4 linked regions of the Drosophila melanogaster genome follow. The protein of the gene in region 3 interacts with the protein of the main gene of each other region in a pairwise test. Each region holds a gene or a part of one and is shown on either strand. Other genes may lie near its edges. The genes, in order: Cluap1, CG5327, CG13083 and CG12589.

Region 1 (4,756 bases), on a different chromosome or scaffold from region 3:
TCTAACAAATTAAGCTGTCTGCCAATTTCACAGATAAATAACACCTGTTGAGAGCTCTTAGACTTCACACTATTACAATCAATCATTGATTTTTTTAGTTTCTTATACAAATAAATGTTATTGCACACACCATAGATACATATGTATGTGTAACGAGCGGGTTTTTGTCCAGAAATAATTTAACCATAACGAGATAGTCAATAACTAAACGGTATGATATCGATGCGAATAGAAGAGAAAAAAAGTTTGAAAATGCACGCAATAAGCAAAGCACGCGAAGTTTGTGAAAGCAATTGTAATTTCATAATGTTACTCAATTTTTGAGTACAAGGCCTCCAGCTACTGATCGGGTTTAAAATACATTTGTGTGCGCTATAAAATACAAAAAACAAAAACAGTTTGAGCACAACCCCTCAATTATTTAACTATCTGATACCCTAGTATCAGAATATGCGTAGCAAGACAAGGGAGAACGCTATGAATGAGTTCTCCGACTATCAGAAGATACACGTTAGTGGTTGGTTGGTTTTGGTATGTATTTATTCCTTATGCACCAAGACTATTACTTAGTAAAATCCGTATTCCCCATATTAAGCAAAACAAGAGTGTATGATATAATCGAGTTCCCCGACTATTAGATACTCATCGTTACTCAGCTAGTGGAAATGCGAATGGGAAATTTCATAATTTTTCTCGGATATCGATAGATATTGGGAAATAATATAATATTGGCAATTTAAAAGACTAATAATAATATGAAAAAGTATTAAAACATTTAGCAAACGTGTGGGCGTGACAGTTCTAGGCAGTTTGTGGGCGTTAGACTGGGCTTGGGAACATGGGCAACTGCACTGCGTCTACGTCTTTAGAATCTGTATGCTTCTTAACTTTCTTTTACCTTCTAGCTTTTATTGAAAAATAGATAGATTTCTGAGATCTCGACGTTCATACGGATGTCCGGCCGAACATGGATATATTGTATATTAGGAATATATATACAATATATGGTCGGAAACGCTTCCTTCTACCTGTTTCATAAGAATATTACTAAAAGGATATAACAAATTTAGTGCCGCTTTTAGGCATTTTGAATGTGCGCTTGTATGATTGAAACAGGGTTCATTCGACTTTTTAAATAAATAGAGTTTTATTTGGTTTTCATATCCATTAATTGTATAAAAACTAAAAAATTAGAAAATATAAATTCTTGATGAGGATCACAAGCGGAATCTTCCATCTGTCGATCAATATTAACTATAAGCTATATATGTACATATGTATATATGTATATACACTGTAAAAGCTAATGTGACACACACACAGCTCTAGTGTGTTTCAGAACGTCGTCTTGCCCACTATAACGCCCGCAAACTTCCCAAAATATCACACCATCGATAACCCAACAGAGTGTTGAATCTGTGCAATGATAAGTAAATTACAAGAACAATAAAGGATATATAGAAAAACTGAAATTTATGTGCCCAACAGGTCAATTTCAGTTGAGATAGTGGCGCCCTCTGTCGGGTATGCTTAATTTGTAAAAATCCCAATTATCGTATTTCAATAATTCGTTCTTAGCAACTCCTACATTTTTAATGGAATGGAAACCGCGCAACCGTTTCCCAGGTGAACCCCGTGCGACCGTCCACAGCAATCGAATGAATATTAGCCAAGGATAGCAGGGGGACACTGCGAGAAATTTCATATGGCAAGTGATAGTAACCTGTATTTGTTTAAGTATTAAAATAAAAAAACTAAAACCTATTTAAGTTAAAATTAATTTTATTTCGCTTTTATTTTCAGTTTCATGTATTGCTGTTTTTGAGAAATTTAGTACATATATCTTAATTCCTATTTTATGTAATATTTTCTTATTAAAATTCCGTTTAAAATTACCAACATTGTTGTTGACAATAATCTTAGTTTAATATTAATAATATATTTTAGAAATGGATCAATGTTTAGAGTTCGTTATCATATTTTCTCGCTATGCATTTTCCGTTACCTAGCAACCATCAATTTGGGATTCGGTGGCCCAAACAAAAGCTCCAACGACCACAACAAATGACGGTGTTGAAAATGCAATTGCCAGCGCAGCCGCAGCGATTGCAAGCAGCCAAAGAAAAACAGGTGAACTCGTTGGAAGCCAGGAATGTCCTTCAAGGATGTGCGAGGTGCGTACTGACTTCCTCCTCTTACTTCCTCCACCTAACACGACCAGACTGATACTCCACTTCCAGATCTGGGGGAACATCTTAAGCTGTTGGGGTTCCCGCGCGTGTTTCCCCTCCAATCCCTGGCCAATCAGCATGGCAGCCTGGCCAGTTTCCACATTGTTGCCGAGCTCCTTCAATGGCTAGCAGGACTAATAGAGCCAGGAGCCACTTTGCCCGGCGGCGTTGAATCGGAGGAGCAGCGGGTTCTTCTCGTCCGTTCGGCGACCGAGTTTTTTGTGACCAAGGCAGCCATTCGTATTAATCCCCGAAAACTGTATGCAGCCGCTGCGGTTACGGCGGCAGAGCTACAGAAGGTTACCCGACTCTTGACATCCCCAGGACAAAACGAAGCGGACAACGACGAAGAGGACCAAAGGGACCAGTACCGGAGCCTAAATCCCGTGGATATTGGCGATAAAATAGAGGAGTTGCGTAAGGCTCGAGAACTGGCCACAGACCTAACCCAGCGTGGCACAACCATATGCGAGATGCTTTCGAAGGAACTGCTCCACAAGGAATCGCTAATGTCCCAGGCCCAACGACCCCTGGAGCTGCTCAGCGTGGAGCGGACCCTGAAGAGCGCCATCCAAGCTAACCAAGTTCGCCTCCAATCGAGTAGAGCCCAACTGGAAGCAGCCAAGGTGGAGCTCAATGCTCTGGGATCAAAGCTGCAGCGCCGTCGGGCGGAGCTCGAGCGAACCCGCCAAAGACTGGAGGCACTGCATCGCATTCGACCAGCGCACATGGCCGAATTCGAGGACTGTGAGAAGGAGTTGCAGGAGCTATTCCAGCGCTACTTTCTCAGGCTGCATGTGCGCGATGCTCTAAAGTCCCAGCTGGACCTGCGTACTAAACGTGCCACACCTATCTCCTCACCCATTCTGCAAAAGCCCGCCGAGAACTCAATGCCCTTCATCCCGGAGGGACTCATCGAGGACGACGATGACGACGACGACGAGGACGATCTGGATGACGAGGATGAGGGCGATGATGGCGGCAAAGCACTTTCCCGTCTCGAAATGGTGGTCAATGGCAGGAGTGTCTTCGGCCTGGACTCAGAGATACCCGACATACGGGACGAGGACAAACTAATGCAACAAAACAACATGGTTTCCGCCCAGGGAAAACGTCCTGGTACCGCCACCTCCAGGATTAGACCCACAACGGGTAGAAGCAGGAAGGCAGTAGGAGGTAAGGAAGTTCTAATTTCACAAACTTATTTCCCTGCTCAAATAACGAAAATCCCAGGAAGAGGCACAGCCGGCCCGGATGGTGGTAATGATGCCAGGGCAGCCCGCGGCACCAGGAGAGGTGTTGCGACTGGAGGAGACGCCGATGGCACCCAGCTAAACGGCCGCAACGGACCCGGCAGCAGTATGCTCAACTCCCGGGACGAAGACAGCAGCTTCGGGAGCTCCGAAAGCGAACTGGATGTGGGTAAAATCATGGGCATGAGCGGAATGAGCGGAATGAGTGGCATGAGCGCTATCAGCGGGATAAGTGGGATGAGCAATATTGCCTTGGGAGCCGGCGATGATGATTGTAAGTCGTGTAGTTACGCCTTGAACTTATAACAAAACTTTACCTCATTCACCCCTAGTTGATCTGAACTCGATCGATGACATAAGCATTTCAAAGTTAACTGGCGAACTGCCACTTAGACCGAAGACCGCCAATAAAGCGGAGCATCACAGCGATGAGGATTTCTAGGGATAACTACAATATTTATATTTATTTGCTAATTTTATAAACTCAGCCAGAGGGCAGACAGGTTGTAAAAAGTAAATAAAATATTCCCATCAAGCAATTAAAAGATTTCTTTCCACGTCACAATCAAATACGTCACCGTCTCGCAAATAGACGGCCTTAGGGTTCCGGTTCCTGCAGTAACACGAATTGTCTGGCGATATGGTGACTAGTATGATGAGCAATCAAAGTGTAGTCAAAGATGGATTTCTGCATGTACATAGGTAAGTGGGACTGTGCAAGTCAAAGCATAGCCAGGATCCCTAACTAAGTACATCGTTATCTGTATGACTTTAGCTAATCTATTCCTCCAAGAAGCGAGATATAAATTAAATTTGCTTTTGTAGATACGTTATAATCAGTTAATTCAATGCTCGAATAATTGAAATAGTTTGCTTAATATATCTTTATTCGATTAATTTTAATGTGTCTTAAGAGCTATACGCATATGTAAGTACATTGATAGAGTAATGGATATAAAAGGGGTAATTTATCAGACAAAGCCCCACATAGATGGGATTTCGTTGTGGCTCCGTAAAAAAAATATATACAAAAGTCTGGGAAACTGGGAACTAGAGAGCGGATGCTTTTCCCGTCACATCACCACATCCCGGCAAACGATCTTCGTTTTGAAGGATGCCCTCTGACCGCCGTACAAGTCCGAGGAGGCAGACGACGAATAGTCGACGTGACTGCCCGCCTGTGACTGTTCTTGCCTGGCCAAAAAGCTATCAGCTATGGCTCGATCTAGACCCGTATACTGGAAATTGGGAGCACCGTCCAGGACATCCGCT
Region 2 (5,473 bases), on a different chromosome or scaffold from region 3:
CAGCATTGTGTCCATTGCTGGAACTGGTGAAGTTTGTAGGCCGCACGAGCACTGCTGCATGATGCTCGTCGATTTTGTGGCTCGCAGTCAAGAAGGAGGCGCCACAAAAACGGAGGTTACATTCACCGAAGATTTCAAGAAGGATACCACTCTGCGGGGTATTCCTAAAGCCTACTACGATTACCTGATGAACAATGAAGACTACAAAGACCTGACATTCGGAGCGGAAAAGTCGAGAGAATGCAAAGAAGTGGACGCAGTTCAAGGAGCAGATAACCTGGCCAAATTCGGACCCTATCTGTGCACCGGCTACGATATCTATCTGCTGCAGGAACCCTGCCTTATGTGCTCCATGGCCCTGGTACATAGCAGGGCGAAAAGAGTATTTTTCGTTAAGAACTCTGAAAACGGAGCTCTAGCCACGAGATTCCAACTGCATTCGGTGCGGGAACTCAACCATCACTACGAAGTGTTCCAGTTCACAACCAAGGAGGATGAAGACTTGACGTAACGTTTAACAAACCTTGGTTTTAATAAAGGATTTATAGGATATCTTCGATTTTCGGCGTTGTTTTGGCCGTCGACTGGCGGGTGGGCGTGGACAGGAGACCCAGCAAATGGCAATCTGCCTCTAGAATGGTAATATCCTTGGACGAACCCAGAAACTTGGTGGACAACTCCAAGTCCTTGATGCGCAGTCGAACACGGGCTCCTCGCACATAGTCGCTGAAGTAGGAAAGGCGGTTTATTGGATAAAGAGACAGGAAATTATATTGAACTCACCTGGCATTGCGTGTTGGACGACTGCAGACGCAGTGAAACTTCCAACCAAAGTCTATGTAGAGATCATCGCCCACCACATGAAAGATCTTGCCACTGACCACCTTGCCCTCGGCGTTGTCCAGCTGCTCCAGAAATCAACAAGTTATTACATAAACAATGGGATTACTTAAATAATGTACCCACATCAATTAATTTGGAGTTGCGCAGCAGGGAGGCGAAGGTCTGGTTGTCTTCCGGCAGCTGTGGAGGCGTGGCTGGTGCCGTGTACTTGTCGAAGGCACGGGCGAATCCTCCCTTGCTGCTGCCAATCTCCGCCGTTTCCGTATTCACTGCGGGAGTAGATTCCTCCGCCGGTTTTTCTGTGTTACCGCTGATAAGTCGAATGACCATTGGCATTCGGGAACGACAGGTTAATGAAGCCATCGGTACACCAGATCTGCTTAGTTTTTGCAAGAGCGACATGGTTTTAATTTAATATTGCTCAAAAATATCCACAAGAAAACCAAAACCAAGTGGAAAACCAAAGAAGAAGAGCGGCACCGATAGACTGCTAATCGATTATTAGCAGCTGCGTCGGCTCATCACTAATCGAATATTACAAAAAACACGCTGCCGGCATTTATTTTGATATTACGAAATCGGTTGTAAGACGTAGGTAATTAACAATTAAACAAGCAAAATGATCCAGCAACAGCGCCAGAAAATCGAGGCCGCGGTAACGGAGATGATCGACGACATGGACAAGACGCACCTGCGCAAAATGCAGGTAAGTGGAGTTCGCTTTAGGGGATATCCCGAAACTGACTTGCTTTTCACGAAATTCCAGAATGAGATGCACTTGTGTGCGGCCAAGTGCTGCCAGGATGGAACCTCCAGCGTGGACAGTGTCCAGAGATGTGTGGATCGATGCTCCGCGCCCATGACGAGGGCACAGAACTACGTTCAACACGAATTGGGCGAGTTCCAGGGCAGACTTCAACGTTGCGTCATGGTTAGTATCCATTGCACCAACTTTTTGCCCTGGTGGCTCTAAGAATAATAGAATATTATTAGGCAACGCTCATATTTCACATTCTCCTCTTCCGCAGCAATGCAACGACGATGTGAAGGTGAAAATGCCGCCCAGTCCCAATGAGGATCAGATAGCCAAGTACACCGACCAATTCGAGCGCTGTGCCATCCAGTGTGTGGACAAGCATGTGGGCCTCATTCCCGGCATGATGAAGACCATGAAGGCTGTGCTCTCCAAGGGACCCGAGAGCATTCCCCAAGTCTAACTCAACCTGCATTTACTACATAATTAGTTGTTGAATTCGTTTATTTTAAAACCGTGCAATGAGTCCCATCTCTGGAGTCATTTCAAATTTTGCTTTTAAGAATATAGAACAAAAATTACCTTATTAATTGTTGAAAGTCTTAAGCAGCAACCAACAACTGTTGTGCTAACAATCTTCGGAAGAATGTCAAGTTTTGCCATCAGTAAAAAAAATAAACATACTTTGTACACCGAAAACTGTCAATTCAACATTTTGTTTTGTTCTTTCGAAATTGTTCAAATTTTAAATTGAAATGGTGGAGCAACAAAAAAAGCGCTTGGAGGGCGCCATTAGCGAAATGATCGAGGACATGTACCGCACCCACTTGCGCAGAATGCAGGTGAGTGTGTGGCCTCCACTTGCCTACTATGAATTTCTGGTAAGAACGTTGTTTCCAAGTCCACGATGCACCGCTGTGCCGCCCGCTGCTGCGACGATGATCGAGGGACGCTGGAGAGCGTACAGAACTGCATCGAGAAGTGCGCCGGTCCCCTGATGGATGCCCAGGATTTCCTGCAGCACGAGCTGGGCCAATTCCAGAATAGACTTCAAAACTGCGTTAGGGTAGGAGCTTAAACTATAATTATAAATGCTTAATATTGGATTGATATATCCTATTTTTAATACGATTGCCAACCCGCAGGATTGCAACAGCGATGCGCGGTCTCAGATGCCCAGCAATCCGAGTGACCGGGACATGTCCCGATCCCAGCACATGTTTGAGAGTTGCACGAACAACTGTGTGGACAAGTACATAAACCTGATACCTGGTCTGCTCAAGTCGATCAAGCAAACACTGGACAGGGGTCCGCCGAAAAGATCACGCAACATGGATGTCTAACCGGGATGCAATTCAGGATCTGGTGACATTTAAAAAAGCACATTCAAGCAGTTGTCAATGGTTCACTTATTTATTGAATATTTTTGGTACAGCTAACACTTAAAGTACACTAATCGCTGCTGTGATCCGGGATAGCCAATGGATTGGAATGGGAACTTATCAGCGCCAACGTGGCCCTTGCTCGCCATGTTTGATAGCTCAGCTCCCGGATCTTCTTAGGCCCTAGCTCATTAAATATCTAGTAATAAAGATTCTTAGTATTATGCAACAATACGAGAGGCTATATTTTTAGGATCTTGATGGATCTACTGCTCGTTCTGCTTCGTCCTCACGCCGTATTTGCTCCAGAAGGTGACCTTGGCGGTGGTCTTCTTCAGGTTGTCCTGGAACACGGAGCACGTGTCGAAGGGTGGACAGTATAGGTGAAGGGAGACAGAGGTATCCGAATGGCTGGGGTTCTCCACGCGATGCAGACCCAGATTGTCTATGGATAACAAAACGAAAAAAAAAAAAACAGTAAGTATAGGAATACCCCACTTTTAAAGTTTCTAATTTTCTCACCATTTATGTAGGCCACATCATTGACGGCGATTGGTGTCTCCCCAATCTCCACCAGCTCTCGGCTATCGATCTCGCCATCGGGATGATGGGACCGGCCGTTGTCCCTGGCAGATCTATTGGGATACTCGTAGCGCTTCTCGCGCAGATCACCCTTCAGCATCTTCATGAAGCAATGGGAATCGGCATGGTCGTGCACCGAGGAGCCGTGTCCTTCGCCCCAGCACAGAATCAGCAGATTGAACTTTCCATTGCCAGCATCCACGAGATTCCGCGTGTAGGTGTAACGATCGAACTTGGCATATTTGCGCCACTCCCGCGGATTGGACTTGTAGCTGAGCATAAGGTGATTCACCATCTCGATGTTAACATAGTTCGACTCGAATTCCCGGTGAAGGGCGGCCACCAAGTCCGATAGGGAATTCACCTCCGGTCCGTATTTCAGGGGTTTCTCCAGCGGCTGATAGTAGCTAGTGGCCTGACGCAGGTACTTCTCCTGGTCAACCTGCTCGATCTCGGTGTCGATCTTGGACAGGGCCATTTTGGGCTTGCTCTGATTGACCTAGGTTGCGAAAAGGGAAGCGGAAGTTAGAGTGGTGGTGCATCAGTTGAGGCTGAAGGGCGTGGAAAACTACCTATAAAGTCTATAAAGATCACTGCTCAATTGATTTAGATGAATTACGTTGTAAAGTCGATGATCGCTGATAATAGCTATTGGTATATATATATATGAATATTCCGATTCGTTGCTGTTACAATTGATTGAATTGCTTCGACTAACCGCACACGCTCCACCTCGGATCGCAAAATTCGAACTGAATTCTGGAGATTTCGCTCTCCTGTCCAGGCTGCATAATCAGCTCGGATCCGACGTAAATCGGAGGCGCAAGTCCAAAACAATAACAAAAACAAGAAGTCGCCGGCGATAACCGTCCATCCAACTTATCAATAGCAGATTTTACCAATACCCTCGGCTATATAATACACGTATTTCTCAGTAGATGATGATAGATCGAATGTTGCCAGGAGGGGCTCAACAGATGTGCCTGAATTTGAGACAAGAGGTTAACGGCGATCTAATGGGATCGTTTGGCAAATAAAAAACAAATTTATTCCACAATATACTCTGGAGCCGACAATAAAAAATATTTGGGCGATACGGGCATTGTCACTGATACGTTAATATACCAATTGATAACTGATAGCTGGTTGAATCTGGATGCTGACGAATTTGCTTTCAAGATCTGCGGGTCTTACCAGCCGGGATTTTCCCGCAAATTCATTTGAAAAAAAGAACCGCGACTTTCTCTAGTTTTGGATTATAGTTAACCGAAACACTTTGAGATACTTTTTGTTTCGAGAAAGTATTGCCTACTTTCAGGTTCGTTACAGATTTCTCTCAATTGCCTGCCATTTGTCAGCAGATCAGTCGTGTCTTTGTTACTCAGGAAGTTAATTAGTGACTAACACACTGACCTTACTTTCTCCATTAAAATGTTAAACAAAGAAAATGATTCTGTCATTGTTTCTCCTAACACGATATGAATTGAACTCATAAATTTAATTATATAACTTCAGGTGAAAACTCGAAATAAATAAAACACTTGAGCTTGCATTAAAGGTAATAACTTTTTTACGATCCCCATGCAATGTTGTTAAATCTTTTCCCCTTGGTGCCACATCAAGGTATTTGAAAAATGTTTTGCAATGGCCAAAAAGCATAAACTGCCAAGCTGGCAGCCAACTTTCGCAACAGGTTAAGGCCAATAGCAAAGTCAAAGCAAAAACTAAAAGCTGCGAACTGCCATTTGCGTAAATATTATGCGAACAAATAGCTTGGAAAATTGGTGAAAAGCAGTTGCCAATTTTCGAAACAGTTCAACAAACTACGATTTAAGTTTGATTTTCTGATTTTCGTACAATTTCAGCAGGGAAAGGGATTTGAAGGATAAAGGACTTACCATTTTGTTTGACT
Region 3 (4,254 bases):
GAGCAAAAGGAGGCACTGAAGGCCCTGACGCTCGTGGAGAAGCTGCTAGCCAAGTTGACTGTCGTTCTGGAGGTTGGCTCCCACAATCTGGTGGCCACCCTTGAGAACCTCTCTAGGCAGGGCGAGGAATACGGCAATCGAACGGAGTCAGAGCTCCTGGAATTGGTGCGTCTGCAGGAGGGCACCAAGGAGATACTCAATGTCCTGGAGGCCAAGCTGGATGCCTATCAGAGGCACGTGCTCCATAGTTCCCGCAACATTGACAACAGCATCGACGGACTGGCCAAACTTATTACTAGGACGGTGTTGCCACAATTGAATGGGCTAAAGTGTACCTTCGATAGCTTGGAGACGTCCCAAATCAACGTGGAGGTGGAGCTGAAGAACTTGGCCGGAGTCAAGGAGCTCAGCGAGAACTCCAACTTCAAGCTGAACGTGCTGGAGCATCAATTGAAGCAGCTGAATCGCACTCAGGAGCAGCGCTTGGACATCCTAATCGATGCAGTCAAGCATTTGCAGCCCCACAGTTCCTGGAAAGTGGAGGCTGTTCTCCGCGAACTGATCATCTCGCAGAAACGCATCGAACTGGGTCTGGAAGAGTGCAGCCGACAACAGCCCTATCCGCAATATGGCCATCACGACGAGTCCTATCTTCCCACCTACGGAGCTGAGGTCCCAGAGCCGCAGCATGCTCATCCTAAGCCCAAGCAAGTGGATCTGGAACAGGTGTGGAGCATCAAGGAGGAGCCCAAGCACGGTAAGTGGTCCTTATTGCCACCAGATTAGGATCACAAATTAATGGCTTGTCGTTCATAGGAGAGCACTCTGGAAACCACAAAGCTACCGCCTATGCCCAGTCCCCCGAGCCAAAGAAGAACTATCAGAGCTCCAGCGCCGTGTCCTGGCGGCAGACGGTGCCGTGGGAGTACGGATCCCCATACCAGTCCGCTCCAGTTCACCACCATCAGCCATGGAACCCAGCTCCGGCCCACGTTCCCACCTCCGTTACCAAGCCCAAGCCGTGCCCCAAGAAAGAGCACCCTACTCCGGCATCCTATGTTCCTTTGCCACATGACCAGCCTGAATCCTACAAGCTTCCTGTGGATTACAGTCCCAAACCTAACCACGAGCAACCTCATAAGCCCCACCACGAGCCACAGTCTTACAATGAGGAGATCTACAAGCCACAGCCCATCCAGCCAGGAGAATCCTTCAGGATTTGGTATGGAGACAGTTCCCTCCCCCAAGGATACTAAAGGAAGATTTAACTGGGACTACCACTGTTACTGAAACTGATACAACTTTTCAAAGCATTTAACAAACTCTTTTTTTTTAATTCAGATTCATTACTTTGTACAATTTTTATGTTTTATAAATAAATAAAAAAAAAGCAAAGGAAATACATTTTTGATTATATTCCTAGCAAGTAATTAATAAATAACTTTTGAGAAAAAATGCTATAGTTTCATGGAAATCATATGCATCAACTTTTAGCATCGTATGCGAAAATATACATTCAATTTCCAAAAACTTTTCTCAAAATCTATTCAAAATATACGAAGAAATTTTTGTTATTTTGTATGTTTTGTAGGTAAATAAATTCACCTTACTATTAACCTATGCTATTGTTTGTTGATAGAAGCAAATTTTAAAAATATTTTAAGCTTTTTTAAAAGTTAATAGTAAAGGATCCAAGTTTGTTTAAATTTGCAAAAGGCATCTTGGCCAATTTTTGAATAGGCATGATAATATGAAGGATAATTAATTATACTGCTGTTTTCGAAATAGGAAACAAAATATAGACTTATTAAACTTTTACAAAATTACTTTAGTTCGCTTTATTACTTTATTTCTTGTAAACGATAGACAGTATGCCCGAAAACATTTGTTACGTTATCATTACCTTCGAAGACCTATTTTCTGAATGAATTTGAACAAGAAGCAGCTGGGGCACGTTTTTCAGTGGTGTTATTACTACCGTAGCACACAAAAAACCGGGTCAATCTGTTCTGTTTAGAAACAAAGAAGAATTTTGAAACGTGACACTACACGGATTTTCCCTAACTTTACCAAGATGTCGATGAACCAATAACTATTTAGTACGACTACATGCAACATAATTCGCTTTAGTTCTTTCTTTTTACAAGATGATAAAACAGTTGTTCGCGACTATCTTCTTAGTAGTAGGGAAATTCTCGTAAACACACTATTACAGATTGGAGCAGCATTTGCACCTGCACCCGCTGAAGAGAAGTGGGTGGTGACCGAACTGATAGAACTTAACCCAGTCTAAGACACGTTTTGGACCTTAAGTTGGGCTACTTAAGTTGCGGTTCGGATCGAAAAGAGACACTCAGCGGGGAGCGGCCATCAGAGAAACACCATGAGAGTGCGACTGACTTTGCTAACGATATGCATTTACCTATGCGCGGCTGCAGCTGAGGATCTGGACTCCATCCATGAGATCCGCAGTGAGGTGGAGGAGCTGATCAAAGGTACGGAGGAGCTAAACCATGGGCTGCAGAAAGTGAAGGACGTGCAGAAGGGCATTGAAGAGAAGTTCAAGCATCAGCGCGACGAGATCGAACTCATTGCTGGATTGGAGGTTGCCATAGCCAAGCTGGAATCGAACGTTCAAAGCAGCTTCCAAGCCACGGCCTCTGGAGTGGGAAATTTGACAGCCATTGTTAACGCAATCCAGGGTCAGAATGAAAACTCTATTAGGAATCTTACCAAAGTGGAGCTAGAAATCAGGAAAGCCCTGGAACAAGTGGCTGCCAATCAGAACAAATACGAGCAGAACCTAAATGAAGTGGCCTCATCCGTCAACTCGCATCTGTCGGAGATTCAGCAGCTGCTATCACAGGCCGTCATAGGGGAACTCATCGGCTTGGACAATAAAGCGAAGGTCCTCCAGGAGCAGCAGCGCAACATCGTGGGTCAAGTGGGATATCTGGGCGAACTTAAGGCTCTGGCAGATCGTGCCAATCGCAAAGTCAATCAATTGGAGTGGGGTCTGGTCATTCTCAACCGCACTCAGTCCGAGAGCCTCAACAGCATCGAGCACACTGTCCATGGAGTGCAGGTGGCCACCTCACAGGTCGATCATAAACTGGCTGCCCTACTGAACAATCAGAAGAACATTGAAAGGACGCTGGATGGCTGCAAGCACAAAAATCCGTCACACCAGAAGCCCCACGAGATCTGGACTCACCCGGAACACGCACCAATTTACAAGTAAGTTTGTATGCCCTACTTCTGGGTGCACACTAAAACCACTCTTTTCATTTTAAGGCCAAAACCAGAGGGCAATCAAGGATACGAGAACGTCTATGCATCCCAAGAAGAGGCTGAATACCTATACAAACTTTGGTATGGAAAGGGCCAGTAGCATTAATACGAAAACTGAAGATAGATGTTTTATGCCATATTCAGAAATTGCTTGATTTCCTATATCAAATCCCAGCATGTCGATTCTATCTATCTTATATAATTGTATATTAAACCGTTCTGTAACACAATGTAATAAACAAGAGTAAATGGAGGAAATCGAACTTTATAAGTTGTATATTGCTAAAAAGTGTTATGTCCAACTTTATATATCAATTGTTGGAAAACTTATAAAACTAGATAAATGCACCTGACATAGAGGAAACCGGCTCTACCTCTATAATTTTGTTGGATCCAATGGATGAACCTGACCATCATCCCGCTCAAACTTAATTATCAGCTGCGACTGATGCTGGTTCCAGTGCTCCGATCGATGTAATTTAGCATTCGTCTTCGAACGGAATTCCTCGACTGACAAATCGATCTCAATTTTTTCGTTACTTGCATCCGGATCGGCGGGGTAAGCATCATCTCCTGGCAAGAGATGCACTAATCCATTTGTACACTTGTGCACTACAGGATGAATCAGCTGAATGCCTTTGACCTCACGCTCTGCTGCAAACTGACGCAGGTTATCTAAAGAGGAGAAGTTTAGGCAGCGCGAAAGTTCATAGAATTGTGGAGGCGGCAGCCAGAGTTCTTTTCTTAGGCTCGCTTGAAGGTAGTCCAATGGGGAACGCCACTACAATAATATAAATGATAGTACATTAAATGCAACTTAAAGGTTTCGCGTATCGCTCTTGTGCCGTATAATATCCCACCCACCTACCGCAGAATCCTTGACCTCATTAGGTTCGATGTGAACCCTGGGTTCCTGTTCCAGGGCAGTCATAAAGAAGGCCGTCTCGAAGCGCTTCTTAAACG
Region 4 (4,864 bases), on a different chromosome or scaffold from region 3:
ATATAGTGGTCATTAATTCGGAAACAGTTGTACAGACAACTGCCGAAGATTTTCCATTTAGGTTGGCATCTGCTGCTATCGATCCCAGTTTCTCTCTGTGTACTGTAGAGCATGTAGGTGGCAAGTGGCAACTACTTGTCTCCATAAATAGTTGCTAAACAGCAATGGGCCCGTGTAAGTGGCTGATGCGACGAGGAGCGAGTAGGTTCCATCCCAGGCGCCGCACGTCATTGGAGGGGACAGGACGCGGACAGCGGCAGTCAAGGGTTAATCTCGAGTTAAGTGATGCACTCGACCTCCGCTGCTTGGTGTCTGGTTAATTGAGTTACGCAGAGCGGCGCACTGCAAGGCGAACTTTGATTGCCATGTCACCAGGGTTTTGGGCTATTTGTTGTCGGGCAATGTGCATTGTGTGGCGTGTGTTAGTCGCATGAATTAAGTGCCTAAGTACGGCACTTGGTTTACATCCGAACGCACAAGTCTGTTCAACAATTATGATTGTGTGGGCCACAAATCTGGCCTTCCTGTTCGGCTGGGACTGTCATCAGGCTGTCATCAGGTTGGATAATTGAAAGGACTCGTGGAAGTGCCGTGTAAAACTTCTTAATACTCTTAATAAGCCAAGCCTTTGCAGTAATTAAATATTTGTTAAAATACTAGTGTGTAACGAATCAAAACTATATGATTTCACTTTTCGATTATTCCTGTGGCTGCTTGTGATATTATGGTCCAACTTAGCCTTATTTACCACCAGCAGCAAAAATAGAAGTTGTGGGAAAGATTCATGCCATATGAACATGACTCTATCGACTAGGATATTATTACTGATCAAGAATATGTACTTTATAGTAAAATATATATGGTCGGCAAAGTCTTTTTCACTGCGTATTAAACTTATGTCTGAAATCAATATAATATATACGGTATAATATTTATACAAAAGAAAGACTGGACATAACCATCGTTTACTTTGCAAACTTTATGAAACTATTTCTCAGTAATTTTCGTTCTTAATTTAACATTAATGAGGCTTTTATGATTAAGCTTTCTAAAACCACTATATTTAATACGAAGTTGAGAACATCATTACATCATCTTTCACCAAGATAGTTCGCTTGTACTTTTACACTTTCGTCACCTGAATTCCGAGCTCCATCGTCCATCGATTCCCCTACAGTGCCCAGTGGCGTCCGTGTTTCACCTGCAAGCTCAGCAGGAGTCGCTGTAACCGCTCCTTTCCCTCGTATAAGCTTCTTTGCTTGTCCAGCCGAAGGGTCACCAGGCGGCGCTGTAGGTGAGTCAGCTGCTCCCGGATCCACACGTGGTTCGCCTGCAGGCGCAGCACCATCGCTACCAAATTCTCAGGCTGACCCACTTTCTCCAATTCTCCGTGCTCATCCATGTCCTCGCCGAAGTCCAGTTCCATATCTATGCCTGCGACGGCTGTGGAATGCGCGTCCATTGTGCAACTGATGTGTGCTACACAGCAATGGTAAATTGTTATATTGGTAATGAATATACATACATATGTCAATTGAACAAAATATTTTTGAAAAATTTTAAACACATGTTGGAAGTAGAGCCAAGCAAATACATACTATGTCCTATTCTATATAGTTGTGGGAGTCCCAGTTTTTTTCAGTGTGCGTATCTGCTGGCGACAGAAGCGGAAACTTGGAATAATTTAAGCGTGCCAACTGGGTGGCAAACTTCCATCTAATCGCTTAATTCCGAGTTGCAAGAACTTTGGGCCCAGAATCCAGCATTCCATGCCGGAAACCTATACGCAAAAGATTTCCGCAGCGAGTGAGTGCAACTTTTTCTAGTTGATTGACTTGGAAATTGAACATTTGCTCCGTGTTTGGTTAAGATGTCTTGTATTTTTTGCCCAGCTAATGCCCTCGATTGGTTGTGAGCAATGCGCAGTGGTGCGTTCGTAAAATTTTCAAATCGTTTGGCCTAGTGGAAAGCACGAAAGGCTGGAAAGGCGGGAAAGCGGCAGCTACTTGAGGTGGCTCAGACCGAAATTGCTTTTCCGCACCCTGGCTCGACCGAGCAGAAAAATGCCAGCCCTGCTGACGCTGCCCCCGGAGTTCGATTTCGCACTATCGATTCATTTGGTATTCATTGGCCTCGCTCGCTCTCCACAGCTTAAAGCGCTACATGTCGCCGCAACTTAGTGCCTTTGTTTCCTTTGTGCGAGTACGAGTTGCATTGCACCCGGCCGACCCAGTTGCATCGTTTGGGGTTCCTTTTCGGGCGGCGCAGCGCCGTCTGAATCGTAAATTGGCAGCACGTTCCACACGGAAAAAAATATTCGGATGTCAGGCATTCACTTTACGGATGACCGAAAATTTGGCGGATGACCGGAAATTAAAGTAAAGTTCGAAAGAAATCTAAATGATATCCTAAGATATTTGACGGTATTTGAGCACTTTGGAAAAATGGTCTAAAATCATGAATGCATTTCGCCAAGTGCGCACTGCATAGCATAGCAATTTGCTGCGACTCCACTACGACTGTGATGCTAATGATCAAGCATCTCGTCGAGAGACAAGGCCAACGGCTCTTGTCAAAAGAATGTGAACTGGGCGGAATGGTGGTGGAAATTGCAGCAGTTTTCACTTTTCCTTTGCCCGGCGACATCTTATGCACAGAAAACGCCTTAGTTGCGGTGTTGTGGCCGCCAGCCGTGCGTATGCGTAATATTCGAGGAATGTTTCGCATTTCCTTCTAACCGAAAAGTTTGACAAGCTGTCTATTTGCTGGGGAGTGTGCGTGTGGGCAGGCTGGCTGTTTGTTTTCTATTTGTGGTGCAGGCACTTGAGGCTATTTCTGGATAATACGCATGCGACATGTTGCCAAGGCGAGGATAAAGCCCAATTTTAAGGCCGTCCGAGCTTTGCGGAATAGCACTGATGATGATTGCAAATACGGAGTGGCTCATCTCTCACCTTTGACTTTAAACAATTTGCCAAACAACGTTTTAAATAAATTTTAAAAATCGATAATGGATAACTACTGCCTCTGTTAAATTAAGATTAATTATAAAATTTACTTATTGTCATACTTTTTTAAGACAGATTGTAAATAAAAAGAGAAAAAAAAAATAAAAAAAAAATCGAGCACAACAAAATCCACGCCTGCTGCTTTCATCCTGACAGGCTAATTGAAAATCTATGAACCTAAGTTTAAGCCTGCAACCCTTTCCATTGCCAGTTGCATCTCTATCTTGGCTTTTTCTGGATGTCTGTTGATATTCAGCCTGCCGGGATTGGCAACTTAATTATTTCAGCGGCACGTCGCCGGCAACTGGCGCTTAAGCCAGCCACCCGACGGTTGCAAAAGCGAAAAACGGGCGGCACAATGAAAAGGAATAAGAAAAGCTGTGATATAAACAGCGCTTTCAGAATGCAACGTCAGTGAAGGGGAAGAAGAACAACAGCTGCTTCTGGGAATCCGCGCCGAAGGATAAAGTTGCCAGCCAAAGGATTTTACTACACATCTGGCTAAAGAAACGGCACGAGAAAAACTCAGCGAACGATTGTATATCATTGTATATCTGTGCATATCTGTGTGTGTCCGGCTCCCCATTAGCACCAAACGACTTCTGCCACGCCCACTTACTTCCGGCCCACCGCATAGTGCTATGCCACAGCAAAAGTCGAAAAAAGCCCCACTTGCGGCTTTATTCATGGACTTGATTCATTAAGAGACATTCACATGCGAGCATTCCCATTTACAAACAAACAGTGGAACTTCCATTAAAATCTATTTTAAATTTAGGAAAGCCATGTTTTTATGTGTGTCGTTTCACGGAATGAAGGCACTGAATATTTAAGTTCTGTAGAATTGTTTTAAGATTTATAAGAAAAAAGGCTTTATAATCGGATTCATGTTTTTAGCTTACGAATACAGGACAAATAATTCATAATTCTGAAATGAATCTCTCTCAAAGATCAACAATTTATTAGGTAAATAGATTTCCAGAACACACCTACTCATAGTTGCCGAGTATTTTATATTTCTCGCGTAATATCTGCGCTTCCCCCCTTTCCAATGACTTTGGAAACTTTGACAGGGCAAAAGTAATTAATTTTCGGCAGCTAACTCAAAAAGACAACCAGCGAACGGCAAAAAGCTGAAAAGGTTAAAAAAAAGGCAACACAGGCGGCACAATTAACGCCTGCAACTTTAATTGCGTTTTAATGTGAATCAGGCCGCAGAAAAGCTGCCTGTTTGGATGCTTTCACGATGGCTCGATGGGCGGAGGGTGGCTGGTGGTGGGTGGCGGATGGCTAAGTGCACGGCTCGAACCAAGCGGAGTGGGTGGTTCAACGTGCTCTGTCAACCGCAGGCGGGGGCTCAAAAGCGTAACAAGCATTGGCCGCGCCTCAGCAACATGTCCGTCGTCCTGCACCCACACACACACACACACACACTCGTACTCGCACTCACACACTCACACTCGCAAAGGAGCGGAGACAAACGCACACGTGAATTCGTCCTGTGACTATGGGCTCTGCAGTCCGGACTACGGGACTATGGGACTATGGGACCACGGGACTCCGGATGCTCCTGTGTGTGGTCGGCCTGTGCCTGAGTGCCTGCCTCAAAAGCAGCTTAACAAACTCACACGGACCAACATGCAGCCACAAGGCAAGGCGCACTCGAAGGAAAATTCATGTTATTCATATTATTATCAATACTCAAATATTTACTCTGAAATATAATAATTGGTAATGTTTTGTGGTACCCTGTACAGAGCCATAAACCTTATTGTTACCCAAACCAACCAAACTTACACTGCTCGAAATTTTACTTAAGGAAATGAATTTGGTTTAATAAAAGAATACGAATAATT

What was found.
Region 1: the proteins of CG13083 (region 3) and Cluap1 interact in a two-hybrid assay, tested with the Drosophila melanogaster proteins (one large-scale study listed by BioGRID).
Region 2: the proteins of CG13083 (region 3) and CG5327 interact in a two-hybrid assay, tested with the Drosophila melanogaster proteins (one large-scale study listed by BioGRID).
Region 4: the proteins of CG13083 (region 3) and CG12589 interact in a two-hybrid assay, tested with the Drosophila melanogaster proteins (one large-scale study listed by BioGRID).

Annotation. Positions count from the first base shown.
Region 1 is NC_004354.4:22,541,620-22,546,375, reverse strand, and holds Cluap1 (clusterin associated protein 1), read left to right. Parts: upstream 1-2,053; 5' UTR 2,054-2,152; coding exon 2,153-2,174; intron 2,175-2,240; coding exon 2,241-3,407; intron 3,408-3,464; coding exon 3,465-3,758; intron 3,759-3,816; coding exon 3,817-3,926; 3' UTR 3,927-3,990; downstream 3,991-4,756. Other genes in the region: CG17600 (uncharacterized protein), read right to left, coding at 4,558-4,756.
Region 2 is NT_033778.4:18,613,699-18,619,171, forward strand, and holds CG5327 (uncharacterized protein), read left to right. Parts: upstream 1-2,289; 5' UTR 2,290-2,352; coding exon 2,353-2,439; intron 2,440-2,498; coding exon 2,499-2,663; intron 2,664-2,742; coding exon 2,743-2,940; 3' UTR 2,941-3,245; coding exon of another isoform or gene 3,246-3,424; 3' UTR 3,425-3,456; intron 3,457-3,501; coding exon of another isoform or gene 3,502-4,039; 3' UTR 4,040-4,619; downstream 4,620-5,473. Other genes in the region: CG10927 (uncharacterized protein), read left to right, coding at 1-511; mRpS28 (mitochondrial ribosomal protein S28), read right to left, coding at 543-726, 784-905, 967-1,245; CG5323 (uncharacterized protein), read left to right, coding at 1,463-1,549, 1,610-1,774, 1,872-2,060; CG5493 (uncharacterized protein), read right to left, coding at 3,246-3,424, 3,502-4,039.
Region 3 is NT_033779.5:19,485,141-19,489,394, forward strand, and holds CG13083 (uncharacterized protein), read left to right. Parts: upstream 1-2,349; 5' UTR 2,350-2,383; coding exon 2,384-3,237; intron 3,238-3,294; coding exon 3,295-3,391; 3' UTR 3,392-3,551; downstream 3,552-4,254. Other genes in the region: CG13084 (uncharacterized protein), read left to right, coding at 1-757, 817-1,256; CG10194 (uncharacterized protein), read right to left, coding at 3,668-4,072, 4,160-4,254.
Region 4 is NT_033777.3:5,136,016-5,140,879, forward strand, and holds CG12589 (uncharacterized protein), read right to left. Parts: upstream 2,975-4,864; 5' UTR 1,599-2,974; intron 1,559-1,598; exon of another isoform or gene 1,480-1,558; 5' UTR 1,463-1,479; coding exon 1,172-1,462; 3' UTR 1,042-1,171; downstream 1-1,041.